3 linked regions of the Stegostoma tigrinum genome follow. The main gene of each other region encodes a partner of the protein of the gene in region 2 in a complex. Links are inferred from orthologs where the notes say so. Each region holds a gene or a part of one and is shown on either strand. Other genes may lie near its edges.

The links.
Region 1: mbtd1 (region 2) and vps72b share a complex: the UniProt entries of both Homo sapiens proteins name them as parts of the nuA4 histone acetyltransferase complex. The link is inferred for Stegostoma tigrinum from reciprocal best matches to the Homo sapiens genes MBTD1 and VPS72.
Region 3: mbtd1 (region 2) and ing3 share a complex: the UniProt entries of both Homo sapiens proteins name them as parts of the nuA4 histone acetyltransferase complex. The link is inferred for Stegostoma tigrinum from reciprocal best matches to the Homo sapiens genes MBTD1 and ING3.

What each region holds. Positions count from the first base shown.
Region 1 is NC_081400.1:5,038,715-5,046,816, forward strand, and holds the start of vps72b (vacuolar protein sorting-associated protein 72 homolog), read right to left. Parts: upstream 3,120-8,102; 5' UTR 3,065-3,119; coding exon 2,948-3,064; intron 1-2,947. UniProt on the Homo sapiens protein: Deposition-and-exchange histone chaperone specific for H2AZ1, specifically chaperones H2AZ1 and deposits it into nucleosomes.
Region 2 is NC_081375.1:6,125,947-6,133,824, forward strand, and holds the start of mbtd1 (MBT domain-containing protein 1), read right to left. Parts: upstream 3,151-7,878; 5' UTR 3,065-3,150; coding exon of another isoform or gene 2,768-3,064; exon of another isoform or gene 2,582-2,767; intron 1,489-2,581; 5' UTR 1,184-1,488; coding exon 1,159-1,183; intron 1-1,158. Other genes in the region: C-Jun-amino-terminal kinase-interacting protein 4, read left to right, coding at 2,768-3,064. UniProt on the Homo sapiens protein: Chromatin reader component of the NuA4 histone acetyltransferase complex, a multiprotein complex involved in transcriptional activation of select genes principally by acetylation of nucleosomal histones H4 and H2A.
Region 3 is NC_081371.1:36,896,431-36,904,577, reverse strand, and holds the start of ing3 (inhibitor of growth protein 3), read right to left. Parts: upstream 3,410-8,147; 5' UTR 3,170-3,409; coding exon 3,142-3,169; intron 3,019-3,141; coding exon 2,947-3,018; intron 2,059-2,946; exon of another isoform or gene 501-2,058; intron 1-500. UniProt on the Homo sapiens protein: Component of the NuA4 histone acetyltransferase (HAT) complex which is involved in transcriptional activation of select genes principally by acetylation of nucleosomal histones H4 and H2A.

The sequences.
Region 1 (8,102 bases), on a different chromosome or scaffold from region 2:
GACTATAATCCCAAACTAAACTAGTCCCACCTGCCTGCTCCTGGCCCATATCCCTCCAAACACTTCTTATTCATGTACTTATCCAAATGTCTTTTAAATATTCTTAACGGTACCTGCATTAACCATTTCCCCGGGCAGTTCACTCCAGGTTCTCATAAATATTTTCTGAACCCTCTCAAATTAATATCATTCGTTTTGCAGGGCAACCAGAACTAGACACAGTGCTCCAGAAGACACCTCACCATTAAATGTCTCCAAGAAGGAGTTAGATATAATTAGAGTCAAACAACACAGAAGCAGACTCTTCAGCCCAACTAATCCACACTGACCAGGTTTCCCCCAAGCTAAACTAGTCTCACGTGCCTGTGTTTGGCTCATGTCTCTCCAAACCGTTCCTATTCCTGTACTTACCCAAATGTCTTTTAAACGTTGTAACTGTGGCTGCACTCCGCATCCTCTGGAAGTTCATTCTACATACAAACCACTCTCTGTGTAAAAAAAATTGCCCCTCATGTCTTGTTTTCAATCTTTCTCCTCTCACCTTAAAAAATTCTGCCTGGTTTTGAAATTCCCCCAGTCTAGGGAAAAACTTTTCACCCTGTCCGTGCCTCTCATGATTTTATAAACCTCTGTAAGGTCAGCCCACAACCTCCTACACTCCAGAGGAAAAAAGGTCCCAGCCTCTCGCCATAACTTAAACCCTTCATTCCAAGCAACATCCCGGCAAATCTCTAGTAAAACTCGAAACGTTACCTCTGTTCTCTCTCCTTCCACCAGACTTGCTGGGTTTCTACAGCAAACTTCAGCTTTTGTTTTGGGTTTCCAGTATCTTAGAACATAGAACATAGAACAGTACAGCACAGAACAGGCCCTTCAGCCCACAATGTTGTGCCGACCATTGATCCTCATGTATGCACCCTCAAATTTCTGTGACCATATACATGTCCAGCAGTCTCTTAAATGACCCCAATGACCTTGCTTCCACAACTGCTGCTGGCAACGCATTCCATGCTCTCACAACTCTCTGCGTAAAGAACCTGCCTCTGACATCCCCTCTATACTTTCCACCAACCAGCCTAAAACTATGACCCCTCGTGCTAGCCATTTCTGCCCTGGGAAATAGTCTCTGGCTATCAACTCTATCTATGCCTCTCACTATCTTGTATACCTCAATTAGGTTCCCTCTCCTCCTCCTTTTCTCCAATGAAAAGAGACCGAGCTCAGTCAACCTCTCTTCATAAGATAAGCCCTCCAGTCCAGGCAGCATCCTGGTAAACCTCCTCTGAACCCTCCCCAAAGCATCCACATCCCTCCTACAATAGGGCGCCCAGAACCGGACGCAGCACTCCAAGTGCGGTCCAACCAAAGTTTTATAGAGCTGCAACAAGATCTCACGACTCTTAAACTCAATCCCCCTGTTATTAATGTCAACTTTCATTAAAATCCATCCAGGATCAAAAACTGCATTGATTTGGAAAATGTGCAAGACTAGGGATTAGATTACAATCACACCGTTTAATTTTCTAGGGTTTGGATCATCGTATTGCTGCTTCTAACACACTCCCTGGCATCTGGAGGGGTACATGAATTGGGAAGGTTTAGGAGGATACGGGCCAAATGTTGGCAGATGGGACTAGATTCATTTAGGATATCCGGTCAGCATGGACTGGTTGGGCCGAAGGATCTGTTTCCTGACTGTATGATCGTATATGACCATAAGACAGGAGCAGAAATTGGGCCATTCGGCTCATCAAGTCCACTCCGCCATTCAATCGTGGCTGATAAGTTCTTCAACAACATTCTCCCCGTAACCCTTGATAATCAAGAACCTATCTATCTCAGTATTAAATGTGCTCAATGGCTTGGCCTCCACAGCCTTCTGTGGCAGTGAATTCCATAGATTCACCACTCTCTGGCTGAAGAAGCTTCTCTCTTATCTCCGTTCTGACAGGTCTTCCCTTTACTCTAAGGCTGTGCCCTCAGGTCCTAGTCTCTCCTACAAATGAAAACATCTACACAACATCCACTCTGTCCAGGCCATTCATTATTATATAAGGTTCAATTAGAACCCCCTCATCCTCCTAAACTCCAACGGGTATTGTCCCAGAGTCCTCAAATGTTCCTTATATGTTAAGCTTTTCATTCCTGGGACCATTCTTCTGACCCTCCTCTCAACCCACTCCAGGGCCAGTACATCTTCCCCGAGATATTGGGCCCAAAACTGCACACAATACTCCAAATGTAGCCTGACCACAGCCTTATAAAGCCTCAGTAGTACATCCCTGCTTTTAAATTCAAGTTCTCTGAAAATAAATGCCAACATTGCATTAGCCTTGCTTACTACTGACTCAACCTGCAAGCTTACTTTGAGAGAACGGGACTAGATTAATTTAGCAAAGCAGGTCAGTACGGACAAGATGGGCTGAAGTGTCTGTTTCCACGCTTTGAAACCCCACATGTGACGAGATTAATTTAGGATAGGAGGTCAGCATGGACTGGTTGGGCTGAAGGGGCTAGTTCCACGCTGTATGACACTTTATGGGACTAGGTTAATTCACGATAGGGGATCAGCATGGGCTGGTTATGCCAAAGGGTCTGTTTCCTGACTGTATGGCTCTATTTCGGACTAGATTACTTTAGGATAGGCGGGTCAGCATGGACTGGTTGGGCCGAAAGGTCTATTTGAAGCATCTGAAAAAATCTCCCCAGTGCAGGTAAGTGGCACAGCGCTGATTGACAGCGGCGGCAGCCAATGATGACACAAGACATAGTAACCGATAGGAACTAAGCCCAATGGCGGCTGAGATGGGAGGCGTTTCCCGAAGTGGCCCCGCCCCCCAGACAGCAAGCTCGGTTGCGCCCGCTTGTCCCTTCCAAGATGGCGGCGGCCTCCCGCCACCTTGGGCGAGCTCTCCCTCTTCTTTTAAAGTCCCTCTTTCTCCTTCACCTCATGGAAACCCCCGTAGGTCGTCATGTAGAAGTCATCGTCCTCCTCGGCCTCCAGCAGCCGCGACATGCGGTTACCGGCATTTTTCCTCGACGGCCGGTTCTCCGCCAGGCTCATGGCGCCGCCGTCTCCTGCTTCTCCGTTCGAGCCGCTCGGAGTGCGCTCGGTCGCGCCTGCGCGTCTTCCTCCCACTGGTCCTCCAGGACGTGACGATCGATCCCGGAGAACGTCGATCGAGAAACACCACTTCCCTATTGGCTACTTATTTCAGTGAGGGGTTTGGGATGAATCAATGAGGGGTGATTTTAATTTTATTTAAGAAAATCCTTCCTCAGGTCCTGAGTTGCTTTTTGTGAAAGAATCCAGTTGTCCGCACTCAAACCTGTACAACCCTCGGTTGGCTATTCGACTGGATGAGGCATCACCCCCAGCACTCATCCCCACGTACATACTGCGCAATCATGTTCGTAAATGGGTAATTAATTCTTCCACCGTCCCCCTCCCAAACCAGACCAAGTCTTACACGTGACTCCAGACCCATTGGCAACGGTGGGGTCACCTCCCCTGAAACTGTGTGTGCCAGGCATCCAGCTCAAGGGGTAGTAAGTGACAAAAGAGATACCAGTAATGCCGCATTGTCCGAAAGGGTTAAATGAAGACAGACTAACATATCCACAAGGGCACTCACCAATTTTTACAGATGCACCATAGAAAGCATCCTGTCTGTAAACTGCTCTTCCCAAGATCACGAGAAATTACAGACAGTGGCCCAGCCCATCACACAAACCAGCCTCCCATCTGTTGACTCAGTCTACACTTCCCACTGCCCTTGGGAAAGCACCTAACATCATCAAAGACCCCCTCCCACCCAGTTATATTCCCTCCCATCCTCTACTGCCGAAAGAAGATACAAAAGTTTGAAAAGATATACCAACAGATTCAAGAGCTGCTTCTTCCCTGCTGATATCAGATTTATGAACCTCTCACATACTATAGTCCATCGCTGCCTGTCTCTGTGTGTCTCTGTATGTGTCCATTATTCTGTAAGTCTGTGTAAATGTCGGTGTGGTGTCTATATCTGTCTCCATCTGTTTCTGTGCCTCTGTACATCTGTGTATGTGTCTCTGTATGTCTTGGTGTCTCAGTATGTCTGTTTCTGTGTATATGCCTGTGTGTGTCTCAGTATGTCTGTTTCTGTGTGTCTGTCTCTGTGTGTATGTCTCTGTGTGTCTCTGTATGTCTGTCACTGTGTGTATGTCTGTGTGTGTCTCAGTATGTCTGTTTCTGTGTGTCTGTCTCTGTGTGTATGTCTGTGTGTGTCTCTGTATGCCTGTCACTGTGTGTATGTCTGTGTGTGTCTCTGTATGTCTGTCGCTGTCTGTATGTCTGTGTGTGTCTCTGTATGCCTGTCGCTGTGTGTGTCTTTGTATGCCTGTCGTTGTGTGTATGTCTCTGTGTGTCTGTATGTCTGTCGCTGTGTGTATGTCTGTGTGTGTCTCTGTATGCCTGTCGCTGTGTGTATGTCTCTGTGTGTCTCTGTATGTCTGTCGCTGTGTGTGTCTCTGTATGTCTGTCGCTGTGTGTATGTCTGTGTGTGTCTCTGTATGTCTGTCGCTGTCTGTATGTCTGTGTGTGTCTCTGTATGCCTGTCGCTGTGTGTGTCTTTGTATGCCTGTCGTTGTGTGTATGTCTCTGTGTGTCTGTATGTGTGTGTGTCTCTGTATGTCTGTCGCTGTGTGTATGTCTGTGTGTGTCTCTGTATGTCTGTTGCTGTGTGTCTGCCTCTGTGTGTCTGTCTGTGTGTATGTCTGTCTGTTATGACCTTGGGCAGAGCAGTTACTATCCGAAGCTGTGATGCATTGGACCAGATGCTTTCTACGAGAGAAAGCAGAGTTGGCATGTTTGGGTCCAGTGGCCCGTCTTTCGAATTTCCCAAGAGGCGCGAAACATTAACCCATCCACAGATACTGCCAGACCAGCTGATTTTTGCCAGTGATTTCCATGATTGCTTCTGATTTGCAGCATCTTTCCCTGAGGCGAATACGTGAGAGCAGGGGGCTGTGGAATTCCCTGCCGCAGAAAGCAAGAAGGAGCCAAAGTAGCAGTTAATGGCACAGTTATCTTTTTATTACCCTGTGCTGGAGTGGCTCAGTGGTTAGCGCAACAGCCTCACTGCGCCAAGGACCTGGGTTTGATCCCACCCTTGGGCGACTGTCTGTGTGGAGTTTGCACATTCTCCCCGTGTCTCTGTGAAGTTGCACGGTATTTTTTTCAGATTCTTATGTTCTTTCTAATTTACCTCAGTGTAACTATTTATTGTTCAGTCGAAAGGCCGTGTGAAATATGGCTATTGTGATTAGGCAGAATGTTTGCTCAGACAATCACCGCGGAAGGCTATTCGGCCCATCCAGTCCGCACCGACTCTGCAACCAGCATCCCACCTCTCCCCCTCTGGACGTGGACTGGACTTTTCCGATTGTGGGTCGGTCCTGAGCGAGGGGGCCACGGCGACATGACGGGGCGGAGACGAGGGCATCCGCTTCTGTCGGAGGCTTTGGACCTCACGGGGACGGGATTTCCTCTCAGGCCAGGAGTCGGAGGGATCATGGAATTCGCCGCAGTGACGATCGCCTCAAACCGCTGGGGCTCGAGGGGGCCAAATGGCCTGCTCCGAGTCAACACGCAGACGCTGGGGAACCGCAGGAGGTCGGGCGGCAGTGAGAGACATCAACGGTCTTTGACCCGAGAGCCACAGGACTCATGGCACACTTCAAAAACAACAGGGAGAGGTCAGTTCAACATCTGTCCTCCTTCTACAGTGGTAGGAGGTTTGCAAACCTGTTGTTGGTGAGCCCTGCCTTTGTGCAAACTGTTTTATGGTTTTACAGGGTTTCACCATCAGATTGCACTGATCAGGTGGATTGATGACTTCTGACCTCGGTCGTCAGGATCAGTTATCTCCGATAAACCAGTTATCGATTGATCAGAGCCCTCCCCCATACCCACGACATTGTTCAGAGAAATAATCCAGTCTCCAAGCGTGCATGCGGGATTATCGCGGGACTGTGGATCCGGGAGACGTTCCGGGGACCTGGATTCGAAGACCGCCCACGGCAGATGGTGGAATTTGAATCCAATAAAATATTTGGAATTCAGAATCTAACTGACGAAAGCACAAGGTAGGGGTGGAGGTGAGATACACCTTTGGGACAGGGTAAAAATACAGCACAGCCTTGTGGGCCGAAGGGCCTGTGCTGTTGTGTGTTATAATGATGAATCCCTTGTTGGAAAAACCCAACTGGTTCCTTCATGTCCTTTCGGGAAGGAAGCGACCATCCTGACCTGGTCTGGCCCAAATGTGTGATTCCAGACCCATAGCAATGTGGTTGATGGTTAATTGCACCCCCCCCCCCCAGGCCACCGGGCAATTAGGGATGGGGCAATAAATGCTGCCGTGCGAGCATCACCCTCATCCCGTGATGGGAGAGCGAACAAATTTTCTTCACCACCCAACCCCCCCCCCCGCAACAACAACACCATTGGTGACCCTCACACACATTTACAACCAGGGGAAAGCACAACGCTACCCAACCCCTTCAACACTCACCCTCCGACAGCGCCCGCTCCCTCAGCACTGACCCTCCGACAGCGCCCGCTCCCTCAGCACTGACCCTCCGACAGCGCCCCCTCCCTCAGCACTGACCCTCCGACAGTGCCCGCTCCCTCAGCACTGACCCTCCGACAGCGCCCGCTCCCTCAACACTGACCCTCCAACAGTGCCCGCTCCCTCTGCACTGACCCTCCGACAGCGCCCGCTCCCTCGGCACTGACCCTCTGACAGCGCCCACTCCCTCGGCACTGACCCTCTGACAGCGCCCGCTCCTTCAGCACTGACCCTCTGACAGCGCCCGCTCCCTTGGCGCTGACCCTCTGACGGTGCCCGCTCCCTCGGCGCTGACCTTCCGACGGTGCCCGCTCCCTCGGCGCTGACCCTCCGACTGCGCCCGCTCCCTCAGCACTGACCCTCTGACAGCGCCCGCTCCCTCGGCGCTGACCCTCTGACAGCGCCCGCTCCCTCGGCACTGACCCTCTGACAGCGCCCGCTCCCTCAGCACTGACCCTCTGACAGCGCCCGCTCCCTCAGCACTGACCCTCTGACAGCGCCCGATCCCTCGGCACTGACCCTCTGACAGCGCCCACTCCCTCGGCACTGACCCTCTGACAGCGCCCGCTCCTTCAGCACTGACCCTCTGACAGCGCCCGCTCCCTTGGCGCTGACCCTCTGACGGTGCCCGCTCCCTCGGCGCTGACCTTCCGACGGTGCCCGCTCCCTCGGCGCTGACCCTCCGACTGCGCCCGCTCCCTCAGCACTGACCCTCTGACAGCGCCCGCTCCCTCAGCACTGACCCTCTGACAGCGCCCGATCCCTCAGCACTGACCCCCGGACAGCGCCCGCTCCCTCAGCACTGACCCTCCGGCGCCCGCTCCCTCGGCGCTGACCCTCCGACGGTGCCCGCTCCCTCGGCGCTGACCCTCCGACGGTGCCCGCTCCCTCGGCGCTGACCCTCCGGTGCCCGCTCCCTCGGCGCTGACCCTCCGGTGCCCGCTCCCTCGGCGCTGACCCTCCGGTGCCCGCTCCCTCGGCGCTGACCCTCCGACGGTGCCCGCTCCCTCGGCGCTGACCCTCCGACGGTGCCCGCTCCCTCGGCGCTGACCCTCCGACGGTGCCCGCTCCCTCAGTGCACATACATGGTCTGCAGTGCTGGCTGCCATTCTCGAATTAAGCAGCTTTGGGTGAGTCTTGTCCTGGACGGACGTATGGAATAAAGAACCATGAATAGCAACATAAAAACTCCGAGTTTCACTTCATTGGTTTCCTTGGAGCCTTGCGTTAGCAGTGGTAGTGTCAGTCTCACAGGGCCAGGAGACCCAGGCTCAAGACCAAGCTGCTCCCTGGAGTGTTTAGTAACACCTCTGAACAGGTTAATTCATAACTGTTTCCCAAAATTGTTGTAAGTTTTGTGTTTGCAATCTGTATTACCGCCTCCAGGTGACAGTACTTGCCAAGCCATAAGAATGACTCGCAACAAATACATGCATTTGTGTGGCGCCTATCACTGTCTGAGTCTATCACATTGTTCTTTAAGTGTTTGGA
Region 2 (7,878 bases):
TGATTTCCCCTTTTTGAGGCCATGCTGATCCTGCTTTGATCTTATTATATATTTCTAAATGCTTTGCTATTACATCCTTTACAACAGATTCTAACATTTTTTCAAGGTCAGATATAAAGGTAACTGGCAGACAGCTTTTTTTGGTCTTCTTCCCATTTTTAATAAAAGGTGCTACATTAAAAGTTTTCTAATTCTCTGGGACTTGCCCAGAATCGAAGGATTCCTGGAAGATGGTTACAAGTGCATCTACTATCTCTATACATGCATCCTTTAATTTCCACAACGTATCCTATCGTGTCAAGGAACTTATTATTCTTTAGCCCCATTAATTACCTTAGCCATTTGATAACTTTGTACTTTTGTAATGTTGTTATTGTCTTGTATTGTGAGTGCTGATGCAAAGTACTTCTCAACTTTGTCTTTTCCCGGTTCCCCGTTGTTATTTCACCAGCTTTAGTCTTTAATGGGCCTGTGTTCCCTTCTGCTTCTCTCTTTATTTTTATTTACTTAAAGAAGTTTTGATATTACTTGCAAGTTAACCCTCCAAGTTTATGTTTTTTCTCTATTATCTTCGGTTGACTTTTGTTGATTTTCTAAAACATTCCCAATCCTCTAGATTACCACCAATCTTTGCCATGTTATACATTTTTCTCCTTTTAATTTGATATAATCCCGAACTTCTTTTTCTTTACGTACCATGGGTACCTCTGTCAAATCTCTCCTTTGCTCCAAGGAGAACAAGTTCTGTTTCTCCAAACTCATTTTGCAGCTAAACTCTCTCTCTCTGACTGAACCATTCTGGTAAATCTCCTGTGCGCCCTTTCAAGGATTGTCAAGTCCTTCCTGAAGCATGATGGCCAGAACTTATTGCCTAACCAGGCAAAAATAAATATTCACCATAATATCAGTGATTTTAAACTCAATATCACAATCTTTGAAGGCATGATGTTTTAAAATCTACTCTCTCAATACGTCCTTTCAAGTCAAAGATATATACATATGAATCTCCAAGTTTCCATGTCCATTTGCAGTGTTTAGAATTATGTAATGTAATTTACATTGATTTAACATTAAAACATATGTTCAACCCACATATCTGTACACACAGGAAATGTGAAATAAAAAACAGAAAATACTTGAAATACTCAGTGAGCCTACCAGCATATGGGTGATGAACTTTCATTATAACCACTTCCAGTATTTTATGCTAAAACACCACTCGCTTTTACTTGACATAGTTCCATAGGATCTCTTCCGTTAACCAGAGGCCTCATTTTTATGTCCTTCAAAGCATGGCATTTCCGATGGCGCAAAATTGGAATATCTGTTTTGGCTTTTGTATTCAAGTCCTCGAAGAAGCTTTCAAGCCATAACTGTCATTCAGAGAAAAGAACGCTGCCATCTAAGCTATAAGCAAAAGAAATATGGACAGCAGTTTTTGAGGAACAAAAACAGAAGTTGCTGGAAGCTCAGCAGGTCTAGCAGCTCCTGCAAAGAAAAAAAAATCAAAGTTAACGTTTCACTCCAGTGACACTTCTACAAGACAGACCTGCTGAGCTTCCAGCAACTTCTGTTTTTGTATCAGAGATAATGGGAACTGCAGATGCTGGAGAATCCAAGATAATAAAGTGTGAAACTGAATAAACACAGCAGGCCAAGCAGCATCTAAGGAGCACAAAAGCTGACGTTGCGGGCCTAGACCCTTCATCAGAGAGGGGGATGGGGGGAGGGAACTGGAATAAATAGGGAGAGGGGGGAGGTGGACCGAAGATGAAGAGAAAAGAAGATAGGTGGAGAGGAGAGTATAGGTGGGGAGGGGATAGGTCTGACCAGGGAACACGGACAGGTCAAGGAGGTGGGATGAGGTTAGTAGGCAGGAAATGGAGTTCCTGATTTAAAGTATCTGCAGTTCTTGTTTTTGTGTGATTTTGGAGGAGCTCATGTTTATGAAAGCATCATTTTTGACTTGTTAATAGCTCCATTGTACTGTATTACATGATTGGTAGAAGATAAACTAGACAAAAGCATGTTTTTTCACTAGCAATTCTGACGTTCGTAACAATTTTATTCAAGGAGATATCTTGTCTGTGACCCTGAAACCTTGCGTCCAAAGTATTTAAAAAAAATAAAAGACCTAACCATTCATAGATGTCAACTATCATCACAAAATCCCTGTAATGGGACAAAGTGCTGCATGGAGGAAGACAGAGTTACCCGTTTTCGCCCGAGAGCAGAGATAACAAAGCGTAGAGCTGGGTGAACACAGCAGGCCAAGCAGTGTCAGAGGAGCAGGAAAGCTGACATTTCGGGCCTCAGGGTCTAGACCCAAAACATCAGCCTTCCTACTCCCCTGATGCCGCTGCGCCTGCTGAGCTCACCCAGCAGCATCCGCAGCTCCCACTATCTATAGCCCGGCAAGAGCATGTGACGGGATCACATGACTTGTGGAAGCTCGCGACGTTCCGTGCCTGATCGGGGCGGCCCGGCGTGCGGGGGCGCGCAGCCTGGACGGGGCGGGACCGCGCCCCTCGAACGGGAACGCGCACAGTGGGGGCTGGGCAGCGCGCTGAGGGGGCGGGGTTGGAGCCAGTGGCCTCGAGCCGAGCGGCGTCGTCAACAGGGAGGGAGCGGGAGACGGCTGAGCGGCGGAGAGAAGAAAGCAGCAGGAGCTGAAGAGAAATATAGGTGGTTATTCCCTTAACTTCCTCCGGCGTAAATCATTGATTTGTCTATATGTTTTCCCCAGCATATTGATAATTTAAAGAAAATGGAAATGGATGATGGGGTGGTTTACCAGGATGACTCCAACACTAATGTTATGTCGGAGCGGGTGTCAGGCCTGGCGGCTAGTATTTACCGGGAGTTCGAGAGGATGATCCGCAAGTACGACGAAGATGTGGTGAAGGACCTGATGCCGCTGGTGGTCGGTGTGCTGGAGAACCTGGACGCGATGTTCGCCGAGAACCAGGAGCACGAGGTGGAGCTGGAGCTATTGCGGGAGGATAACGAGCAGCTCATCACCCAGTATGAGCGGGAGAAAGCCCTGCGGAAGCACGCCGAGGAGGTGAGTGAGTGTCCCGGGCCAGGGTGAGGGCGCCACCGCTTTTCATTCTCCATCGGGATGGCTCCCGCTGAGATCTCTCACCCGAACCTCCGCTTCCCCCAGTCCTCATTGGACCAATGCTTCAGACTAATGCCCACCTCCTCTACCGCCTGCACCCTGATTGGTCGGTGGCCCTGTCACTCAGCACGCTAGCAGGTTTGATTGCATACGATGACAACCCAACGGGCCCTAGTTTTCAAAACAAGCCCAACTTGTGTGTGTTATATATTTTTTAAATAAAGTGTGGGTATTTATTGATGACTGTTGTGTCGACGCTTCGGTAATATATTTCCCTTGCAGTATCTTCTGGCGTGTGTTGGCACAGTGTTCCCCTGTACGTCATCTGCATGAATAAGCGCAACATTGATGTGGGTTGAAGACAAAAATCTTAGTGAATTCTTCCTTAATGGACCAGAATAACCAAGAAAATTTAAAGTAACCTTTATAACACTGTTTACCAGAAACCGGTTAAGATCTTAACATGCGAACTCTGCTTTTTGTAAAAATCTGAGTTAAGATGTTAGGAACCTAATGGCCTGCATGTTGTTTTGTTCCAGAGAAAAAAGATATTGGGACTTTTTCCTAAAAGGGTTATGTTTTCTGAAAAAGTCATTGCTCGCTTCTTTGAGTATAAGAGTTGGGAAATCATGTTGAGGTTGTACAGGACATTGGTCAGGCCTCTTCTGGAGCAGTGTGTCCAGTTCTGGTCGCCCAGTTATAGGAAGGATATTATCAAGCGGAGACGGTCAGAAGAGATTTGCCAGGTGTTGCTGGGTGTGGAAGTTGGGTTGTAAAGAAAGGCAGGATAGGCTGGGACATCCTTCACTGGAATGTAGAAGGTTGACTGGCAATCTGACTGAAGTAATGAGAGGTATAGATAGAGTTAATGGTAGTTGTTTTTCCCCTAGGATGGGCATTTTCAAGGAGGAGGTGGGCTTTAGTCTGAAGCATTGGTCCAATGAGGACTGGGGGAAGCGGAGGTTCGGTTGAGAGATCTCAGCGGGAGCCATCCCGATGGAGAATGAAAAGCGGCGGCGCCTTCACCCTGGCCCGGGGGCACATTTTTAAGTTGAGAGGAGAGAGATTGAAAAAAATGAGGTAGATGTTTTTAGACAAAGGGTGGCTCCTGTGTGGAATGAACCTCCTGAGGAAGTGGCGGATGTGGGTACAATCACAACATTTAAAAGACATTTGGATAAGTACGTGAGTAGGAAAGGTGTGGAGGGATATGGGCCAGGAGCAGGCAGGTGGGCCTTGTTTAGTTTGGGGTTATGTTCGCCTGGACTGGTTGGAGCGAAGGATCTGTTTCTGTGCTGTACGTCTCTATATGTGGAAACAAAACGAGCAAGGTGCACATGTTCTTCTATGTACTGCATTCTGTGAGGAATAAATCATCTTGGAGTTGCCATTGAGAAAACTTTGCAGAATTTGAGAGTGTAGCATTTTCCTCTGTGAATAGAATTATGTAATTTAAACCATGTTGACAATTGGTGTAGATTCACAGCCATTTGTGTTTGTTGGATTTTCATGGAGTATCTGCCAAGTATTTGTAGTTTAAAACATCAGATTGATAATATTCAAATCTTCCAGTGATGTGTGGTTAGCTTACCATACTGAGTGAGCCAGGTATAGTGGATGAAGAGATAATGGGAACTGCAGATGCTGGAGAATCCAAGATAACAAGGTGTGAAGCTGGATGAACACAGCAGGCCAAGCAGCATCTCAGGAGCACAAAAGCTGACGTTTTGAGCCTAGACCTTTCATCAGAGAGAAAGAGTGTCAGAAGAGGGTGTGATGAAGGGTCTAGGCCCGAAACGTCAGCTTTTGTGCTCCTAAGATGCTGCTTGGCGTGTGTGTTCATCCAGTTCCACACTTTGTCACAGTGGATGAAGACTTGGGTTTCATTATGACACCAAATCGCATGTTGGCCTGCCTTGCTACTGAACTGGCAATTGCGTTGGTTTTGACCATCTTCTTTAGTTCCATCCGCTCATCTCTCATGTTACCATTCTCTGTCACTCACCCAGTAACGTAAACACAGGATTATTTACATGCCAAACAGTGAGTTATCCCATAATGAACAAATCTGATCTAAGCTTTGCAGTCTGACCACATCCAATGATGAATAACAAAACAACTCACTATAAGGTGAGACAATGGCCTAATGGTGTTATTGCTGAACTGTTAATCCAGAGACCCAGCTAACATCCTGGGGACCTAGGTTCAAATCCTGCCGTGGCAGATTGTGGAATTTGAATTCAATTTAAAAAATTGGAATTAATAGCGCGGTAATAACCATGAAATCATTGTGAATTATCGAGAAAACCCTTTTGATTTAGTAATGTACTTTAGGGAAGGAAGCTCCCTACATGTGACTCCAGCTCTACAGCAATGTGGTTGACTCTCAACCTCAATTAGTGATGGGCAATAAATGCAGGCCTAGCCAGCAATGCCCTCTTCCCGTCAATGAATACCAAAAAAAGGAGAAGCTCTGAATGACTTCATCTTTAATAATGGAGGAGTCCAGCACGTCAGCACAAATGAAAAGACTGAAGCATTTGCACCCTGTTCAGTCAGAAGATCCACCTCTACCTTCTCCTGATGTCCCCAACATTGCTGATGCTGGTCTTCAACCAATTTGATAGACTTTACGATATCAAGAAATAGCTGATGATGCTGGATTCTGGAAAGGCTGTGGACTGTGTTAACATTCTCAAAAAGTACTGAAGATGAGCTCCAGAACTAACCACGTCATTAGGCAAGCTTGTTCGGCACATTTAGAACAGTGACAAATACATGTCAATGTGGAAAATTGTACAACCATATCGTGTCCACAAAAAGCAAGACAAATCAACCAGGCCATTTATCAATCCATCAGTTTATTTTGTATCAACAGAATAATGGAAGGTGTTATCGACAGTGCTATTGAGTCAGGCGTGTAATGAAATACTGTCCACTTGGTAGGATGGGTGAAACTCCGAAAAACACTCAGGAAGGTTAACACCATTCAGGACAAAGCAGTTTTTTGATTGGCATGTCAATTCTCACACCTTCTACATTCACTCTGTATTCACCACTGCAGAGAAACTGCAGCAGTGTGTACCATCTTCCAGATGCACTGCAGTAACTTGCCAAGGCTCCTTGGATAACACCTTCAAATCTCCAAACCAGAATGACGGTGGCAGCAGGTATGCGGGAACACCATCATTTGCAAGATCCCCTCCATGCCACACATCATCCAGACTTCAAAATACATTGTTGTTTCTTCACTGTAACAGGGTTAAAATCTGGGAATTCACCCTGTAACAACACAGTGGGTGTTCCAAATAAGTATTTCACAAAGACAACTCACTACCACTTTCTTGAGGGCAGTTAGGAGTTGGTAATAAATCTTGGCTTATCCAACATGTCCTGCAAATGAGTTTTTTATAAGTCCAAAAATAATATTTGCACTACAGCAGTGACCAAATTTACAGTTACTGAACACATACAGTGCATCCTATATATCATCTCAAACTGTAATTCTGATGTACAGATGTATTGAATTTTGAATTCCTTGCTATAGAAGGCTGCACAACTGTTTGCTCGATTGCACCCTCGGATGAAATGTGGAGAAATGGAGTAGAATGGGACCTGTGCTCACCATAGTTAAGAAGAATGAGAGGTGATCTTGTTGAGTCCAAAATTTTCTTGAATTTATGTTTAATTCTTAATTCTAGGGGTTTGTCTAAGAAGAAGACTGGGTAGCTGCGAGGAGGTTCTGTAATTGAGGAGTCTGGAGATTTTGAATTACATAAGCGAAAGGCTATCAGAACTGACCCATGGCCTTTAACAACACAATTTCTCTCAGATATGAAAACAGAAAATACTGGAAATAATTAGCATACCAAGTGGTGTCTTCTCTTTTTCCCGGGTCTCCCTTGTTTCAACAACTAGTTTAGGTTGTTCAGGTATCTTGGCTGTGCTTTCAGTTGGAGATAGTAAGAACTACGGATGCTGGAGTCAGGGATAATAGAAAAAGGGTCCTGATCCAAAACGTCAACTTGCCTGCTCCTCTGATGCTGCCTGGCATGCTGTTTTCCTCCAGCTCCACACTGTGTTATCTGTGTTTTGAGTTGAATGTGCAACACGTCCTGGAATTCCCTCCCCAAATCATCCATTACTATGCTGTCTGCCCATCTTAAATTCTGACTGTTTTCACACTAGCTTTTGGTTACTGTACTTAATAGAACAGAGAACATAGATGTTGCGTCGACCTGTGAACTAATCTAAGCCCCTCCCCCTACACTGTCCCATCATCATCATCCATATGCTTATCCAAGGATGATAATATTTTGCCTTTGTTCGGTTTTTGAACTGCCTTTGGATGTTGTTCTATGCTCTGCCTTGTATAAATATGATCATATAAATAAGAATTGCCTACTCAGTCCCTTGAGCATTTTCAGCAATTGATGAAGATCTTGGCTGATCTGATGACTCCACGTGGCATCAAACTGTAGGATGACTTTTCCGCCTCATGCTTGGCAATAATCTATTGACATCTGCCTTAAAGGCATTCAAAGACTTTTTATTGCCACCCTTTGAGGAAAAGAATTCCAAAAACTCTTCAACCTCTCTTTCTTTTCATCCCTTTGCTCAATAGTTTACTGCTTATTTTTAAACAGTAACGCCTAGTACGAAGCTCTAGTATGAGAGTAAATAAACTTGCCACATCCATTCTGTCAGGACCCCTCGCAGGGTCTTGTATATTTCAAACAACTTGTCTCTTCTCAGCT
Region 3 (8,147 bases), on a different chromosome or scaffold from region 2:
TTTTACCACCTAGTGGCAATGAAACACTTTGATCATGCCGTGTTTCACCCCACCAATCCAAATTTTTTATTACGCTGTGCAAGAATTTATACAGTATTTCAAGTCAATGGCATGATACTTTCTTTTTTGCAGGTTGCCCTGCATCCATCAACTATATTCACAAAAATACTTCAACCAAGGGTTAGTCAACACAATTGGGATTCAGTTAGAAATAAATAAGATAGAGTGTATGTGAGACAAGTAGGTAATGCGGCATTCATTTAGTGTTCCTACTGCCACTAAGCATTTTCTTCTTCAATGTATAGAAAGGCTCCTAGGAATTGTGATCAATAGTGATTTGTATTCAAAAGCAGTGCAATTTTTATTAATATTCCCTCTTAATGTTTTCCTTCACATATATGAATTACCGTTTATTTCTTTCCTCACACTTTTGTCTTGCCTGCACTTTACGTTTTGAGAGCTTCCGAAAAGAAACTTAATAAGTATAAAAGATACTTAACAGGATCAAAAGAAAATTATAGACGAGTAAGGCAATTCAGTCCTCCTGCAGATACTAAAATCCTCCATTTGCAGCATTCAATTCTGTGTTAAATGATAAATGAAGTAAATCTTTAAAGAATTCAGAAACACCAGGAGGTAGCAAAGATTTGTTGTCAGGAAGGCAACATTTAGAATACGTACCAACCGGAGTTCTTAGCAAGTTTTATCAACAACTGAATGGATTGTTAGCAACAATGACTGAAAACATAGCACCGTAATAACTTAATAAATGAAATAACTTCAAAAAGAGGTCGGTATTCTGAAAAAATTATAGTCCAAAAAGCCTATTAGTTGGTTTTTAAAATTTGTAACAGATCACAATAAAAAAATGCATGGCCCTTATATACAGTAAATCTGTGTAGCTCAAATTGTTACAATCAATTTCAAATTTTTAAGTGTTAAGTCTTCTTGTTGCCTTAAGCTTCTTTTTCACTTCCATAAGCTCCTGATAAATGAGCTTTACACAGATCAGTTGCATTTTGCTATATAACTGCATTTTAAGGAGTTGACTGTGATTTTTTTTCTGATTGTATAGTTTCTAACATAGCCAGGAATGAACTTTTATTTAATACACATAAAAATGTTCAAGTGAGACTTTGAATTAATGTGCTAAATAAATCAAATTCAAATGCTTCAATTCAAGCAGTGGTGATCAAAGTTATGAAGCAGAGAAATTATGGTTGGTACCTGTTCTAGCAATAAAGGTAACTGAAGCCAAGTCTCCTCTAAAACAATTTTACTTCTTTTTAGTTACTAGAATGTCCTGATAAATTTTAAATTGCATTTACTCTGCAAGGGCAATTCCACAACTAACTTTAATGGATTTTCTTAGCCTAGTTTTGGCTGATACTTTCACTAATGCTTACCTAGTAAACCATGTATATCAATGCTCAGCAAATTACTGAAAATGCTGAGTGCTTGTAACTGCATGCAGTCTACAAGGTTTATTTGGTCAGAATCTTAATAACTGTTTGTAGATGTGTTTTAATAACAAAATGCCATCAATTTCAATTTTGTCTCACCAGAAACTCTCCATTACGGGTGGAATGGGGTGAAATTAACTAATAATGGAGATATTTGAAAAACGTTCACAGTGACATACCGCAGATTGCTATAAATATAATTTATTAAGCTGGTCAAAAAGAAAAATCTTCAAAATAACTCTCTACTTTTGAAATGTAATGCCATAATTCATTTTGCTGTATAACTGCATTTTAAGGAGTTTACTGTGATATTTTTTGCCAAATAAATCTGAATATCTAGTTTCTAACATAGCTAGGGACAAACTTTTATTTAATACATGTGTAAATGTTCAAATGAGACTTCTAATTTACGTGCTAAATAAAATCAAATTAAAATGGTCCAATCCAAGCAGTGGTGATCAAAGTTTTGAAGCAGAGAAATTATGGTTGGTACCTGTTGTAGCAATAAAAGATAATTGAAAGCCAAGTCTCCTTTAAAAACAACTTTACTTAATTTTAGTTGTTAGGTTGCCCTGATAAATTTTAAAATGCATTATTTCTATTTGATTTACTTTAATTGATTAATGTTTACAGAAAACTAGAGATGAATTATTTTAATATATTTCTGTACTTCAATTCAGAATAACACAAGAATGCAAATATTAAAAACTGAAAACTTAGAAAACCATTCTCGTACCCCACTTTAAAGTATTTCATTATTCAATATATGTGTGCACAAGTGGAAAATGTACAGTAAAGATAGTTTTAAAATACGTTAATGAAATTCAACATTTTAAAGGTTATCACGGAGAAATTGCTACGATATCAGCAGTTACAATGACATCAAAGACTGATGTCGCATGGGGAGATCAGTTTTTTTTAAACACATTTTCAGACCGAGCCACAGAGTGCAATAATGGTCTCACTAAAGGAATTTAAGAAAACATTCGCAAAGTCTATACAATTAATTGTTTATGGAAAAGAAATCCAAGTGCAGCTAAAAAGGGAAGAGAAGTTGCCACCTAGCGCTGGACCAAGTGATGGACGCTGTTGCTATGGTGTACGTTGCTATGACTCTGCAATTGAGTGGCAATAGATAAGTGATCTCAGAAAAGGGAGGGAAAGGAGCTGAAAAAGTAAAAGTAACTATAACAAATTATCGGAATATTATCAAAAATGACTCGGTAACTGAAACTAAAGGTGGTTTTATTTTGGCTGAAACTTTTATTTCCTGGATCTTTTCAAATGTTGCAAAGGCGGAATATTTAGGTTTTGGGTCAAGAGGCATTTGTTTTGAAAAGAAACTGAAAGAGGTAAGGTGGAAGGAGAGAAGTCGCGGGTATCGTAATGTGGCTGTAAGAATGTTCAGTGCAGTGTCCCGGCATTTAAAAAAAAACACGGGTGAGTTGTGTGCCTCTGACATGACTAACGTGGCTCTGCATACTCTGTACTTGTAGGTCCATCTCCCTCATTTCCGTAAACCTGTCGCGCAGATCCATGGGAAGTTGTTCGATCACTGTCGAGAGAGGAAAACAACAGCATTAATGGTGCCTTTTCGCTTCGCTCCGCCCGGCCCTGCCGGGGTGGGGGGGGGGGAAACAATCCCAGCTGTACACGCTGCCTTACACTCAATACTCACTTTCCAAGTAATCCTCCAAGTACAACATTTCGAGTATGGATGGTTTTTGTAAAAAAAACCGGACGATTTTTTTTAAAAAAGGGATGGTTGTTTTTTTTCCTTCCCCCCTAAAATGGTTCCAATATGGCGTCTCAAACCAGCGCCGCTCGTTCGTTTAAAAAAAATGGGGAATGGCAGATAAAAACACCGGCGCCTCGGCTCCGCCCCTCCCCGCCCCGCGCACTCAAATTCCGCACTCCGATTGGTGGGCCGGCGGCCCTTCTGTTTCGTTGGCGCGGTTTTTCCTGGTTCGGCACGCCCACAACAACAAGGTAATGTTGGGAGATGTAGTCCAGGTCTTTCTGTTCGAGGCGGGCAGCCGTCGGCCTCTGTGTTTCTTGAGTCGAGTTAAGCCTGAGCTCCCTGATCGATTATTGAGGCTACGAATGATTTGGGGTGAGGCGGGGTTCGTTGTTCAAGTTGTGCCGGCTCCGACGTGCACTTATTATTTTCTGATTATTGTTTCGATCGTTTGGTTTAAACAATTTAAGACCCGTTTCCGATTACACGGCGGCATGAGCGAGCGGGGCTGGAAGATGCTCTCTTTGATTTGTATGTATCCCGTACTCAACTTCCACGCAACTCAGCAATATCTCTCCATTCACTGATTCATTGCACGGAAGCAAGAAGATGCATCAGATAACAGAGACCCCCATCCTGTTGGTGCAGCTTCTGATCAGAGGGATGTCTAATTTGTTCAGTCCCCTGCTCAACTCCTTTTAAAAAGTCAATCGGGTACCTACAACTGCTAGCCTTGCTGATCTTGATCATAACACATCATTCTTCAGCTGAACTTGAAATGAATGTAGTGTTTTAAGAGTTTTTTTTGGGTACGATCTCCGTAAAGACTCAACTTCTAAAAAGTAATTCGAAGTACCAGATTGATATCTGAAAGGTTGACTCGAGATTTCACATTTTTATTTTTTTAACTGTGGCAAACAGAAGAAATACGCTACAGTATTGAGTGAACACTTTTTTTGTAGCCAGTAAAACATGCCGTTTTACTTTTTATAGGACCTAGAAACTACTTTTTTTAAAAAAAATTCTTTACACAGCTTCTTTAAGTAGTCCTTTCGTAATCTTGTAAAAGCGAAAATACTGCGGATGCTGGAAATTTAAAATAAATAGAGAATGCAGGAGAAACTCAACAAATCTGGCAGCATCTCTGGAAACACAAATAGTTAATATTTGAGCCCAGTATATGTCTTAAGAACTACAAGATGCAATAGTTGAGTTCTGAAGTGTCATATTGAACTCGAACGTTTTTCCCTCCACGGATGCTGCCAGACTTGCTTTACATCTTTTAGGGACTTGGGAAACTACCGGTCACTGTAAATATATTCGTGCAATTATCTCCACTTTCATTACATTTAATCTCTAACAGCCGCGTCACCTTGTCTTGTCATCTGGCAGATTTCAGAACAGATCATATAACCCGTTCAATTTACCGGAGGTTAAAGACACGGTCATCGAACCTCACATTTCCTACTCAATAAATGACTTATTTTGAACCAGTTACTTAGAAAATTTGTGAAATGTGACCTTGGTGCAAAAACCTACTACTTAAGGGAAAAGCATGTTTCAATATTTCAGAGATAGTAGGAATTGCCAATGCTGGGGAATCTGATGTAACACCGTGTGAAGCTGGATGAACACAGCAGGCCAAGCAACATCAGAGGAGCAGGAAAGTTTGACGTTTCCTGTCGAGACCCTTCTTCAGAAATGGGAGAGGGGAAGGGGATTCTGAAATAAATAGGGAGAGAGGAGGAGGCGGATAGAAGATGGATAAAGGAGAAGATAGGTGGAGAGGAGACAGACAGGTCGAGAGGCAGGGTTAGAGCCAGTAAAGGTGAGTGTAGGTGGGGAGTTTGGGAAGGGATAGGTTGGTCCAGGGAGGACGGACAGGTCAAGGACACGGGATGAGGTTAGTGGGTAGGAGATGGGGGTGGAGCTTGAGGTGGGAGGAAGGACAGGTTAAGGAGGTGGGTGAACTGGGCTGGTTTTGGGATGCAGTGGGGGAAGGGGAGATTTTGAAGCTTGTGAAGTCCACGTTGATACCATTGGGCTGCAGGGTTCCCATGTGAAATATGAGATGCTGTTCCTGCATCTTTTGGGTGGCGTCATCGTGGAAATGCAGGAGGCCCAGGATGGACATGTCATCCGAGGAGTTGGGGGGGGTGGTGGGGGTGCAGTTGAAATGGTTCGTGACTGGGAGGTGCAGTTGTTTGTTGCGAACTGAGCATAGGTGTCCCGCAAAACGGTCCCCATGCCTCAGCTTGGTTTCCCTGATGTAGAGGAGGCCACAACGGGAACAACGGATGCGGTATACCACCTCAGCAGATGTGCAGGTGACCATCTACTTGATATGGAAAGTCTTCCTTGGGGATGGGGGTGGCGGGGCGGTATAGGGGCAGGTGTAGCACTTGCTTCGCTTGCAGGGAAAAGTGCAGGGGTTGGTGGAGTAGGAGGGGAGTGTGGAGTGGACAAGGGAGTCACGGAGAGAGTGATCCCTCTGGAAAGCAGATAAGGGTGGGGAGGGAAAAATGTCTTTGGTAGTGGGGTCAGATTGCAGATGCGGAAATGTCGGAGGACGATGCTTTGGATTTGGAGGTTGGTGGGGTGGTACGTGAGGACGAGGGCGATTCTGTTTTGGTTATTATTGCGAATAGGGGGTGTGAGGGATGAGCTGCGGGAAATGCGGGAGACATGGTCGAGGGCATTTTCAATGACTGTGGAGGGGAAATTGCAGTTCTTGAAAACAAAAGGACATCTGGGATGTTTCGGAGTGGAATGTCTCAGGAGCAGATGCAGCGGAGGCGAAGGAATTGGGAATAGTGGATGGCCTTTTTACAGGAAGGTGGGTGAGAGGAGGAATGTTCTAGGTAGTTGTGGGATTTGGTAGGCTTAAAATGGATATCGCTTTCCAGCTGGATGCCAGAGATGGAGACAGAGAGGTCCAGGAAGGAGAGAGAGGTGTCAGAGATTGTCCAGGTAAATTTATGGTTGGGGTGGAAGGTGTTAGCGAAGTGAATGAACTGCTCAAGCTCCTCGTGGGAACATGAGGCGGTGCTGAAACTGTCATCAATGTAACGGAGGAAGAGATGGGGGATAGTAGCTTTGGAAGAGGGATTATTCCATGTACCCTACAAAGAGGCAGGCATAGCTTGGGCCCATGCCTGTACCCATGGCCACCCTCTGTCTGTAGGAAGTGGGAGATATAATTATTAGTTTGCTTTAGGATAGGGTCGAGCAGTTTCAGGGCCGAAGAAAGTATAAGAGGGTTGCAGCGGGAGAGGGATGAACTGCGGTGTACAGACAAAGGCCATGGGTACCCTCATGGGCCCAAGCTCCAAATCCAACGCATCAGCCTCCGACATTTCCACCATCTGCAATCTGACCCCACTACCAAAGACACTTTTCCCTCCCCACCCTTACGTGCTTTGTGGAGGGATCACTGTCTCCATGACTCCTTTGTCCGCTCCACACTCGCCTCCAGCTCCAACATCCACGGCACGTTTCCCTGCAAGCGAAGCACGTGCTACACCTGCCCCTTTCCACGTCAAACAGATGTTCACCTGCACATCTGTTAATGTGATATATTTCAATATTTCGTATTTCTTATGAAGATAGTAAACATTCCAACTGGAATATGACTTTTCATTGACTGAAAATGGGTCATAATCAACTCAGAACAACTTGTTTTTGCTCTGCACAGATGATACTAACATGTTTTCAGCACTTTCTGCTTTAATTTCAGATTTCCAGCAAGTTCAGTATTTTGCTTTTATATCGTTTAGCCATTTCGATGTGCATTTTTTTTTAACATACTTCATTTTGTCTTTATAATGTGGGATTTAATCTCTCCTGAGGTTTTTTTTAAGATTAGATTAGATTCCCTACAGTGTGGAAACAGGCCCTTCAGCCCAACAAATCCACACCACCCCTTGATGTATCCCACCCAGACCCATCCCCCTATAACCCATACACCCCTGAATACTATCAGAGATAATGGGAACTGCAGATGCTGGAGACTCCAAGACAACAAAATGTGAGGCTGGATGAACACAGCAGGCCAAGCAGCATCTCAGGAGCACAAAAGCTGACGTTTCGGGCCTAGACCCTTCATCAGAGAGGGGGATGGGGGGAGGGAACTGGAATAAATAGGGAGAGAGGGGGAGGCGGACCGAAGATGGAGAGTAAAGAAGATAGGTGGAGAAGGTGTGGGTGGGGAGGTAGGGAGGGGATAGGTCAGTCCAGGGAAGACGGACAGGTCAAGGAGGTGGGATGAGGTTAGTAGGTAGCTGGGGGTGCGGCTTGGGGTGGGAGGAAGGGATGGGTGAGAGGAAGAACCGGTTAGGGAGGCAGAGACAGGTTGGACTGGTTTTGGGATGCAGTGGGTGGGGGGGAAGAGCTGGGCTGGTTGTGTGGTGCAGTGGGGGGAGGGGATGAACTGGGCTGGTTGAGGGATGCAGTGGGGGAAGGGGAGATTTTGAAACTGGTGAAGTCCACATTGATACCATATGGCTGCAGGGTTCCCAGGCGGAATATGAGTTGCTGTTCCTGCAACCTTCGGGTGGCATCATTGTGGCAGTGCAGGAGGCCCATGATGGACATGTCATCAAGAGAATGGGAGGGGGAGTGGAAATGGTTTGCGACTGGGAGGTGCAGTTGTTTGTTGCGAACTGAGCGGAGGTGTTCTGCAAAGCGGTCCCCAAGCCTCCGCTTGGTTTCCCCAATAATGCACCCCTGAATACTACGTGCAATTTAGCATGGCCAGTCCACCTAGCCTGCAAATCTTTGGACTGTGGGAGGAAACCAGAGCACCTGGAGGAAACCCACGCAGACACAGGGAGAATGTGCAAACTCCACACAGACAGTTACCTGAGGCTGGAATCGAACCCGGGTCCCTGGTGCTGTGAGGCTGTAGTGCTGACCACTGAGCCACCATACCGCTTTGTGCAGCTTTA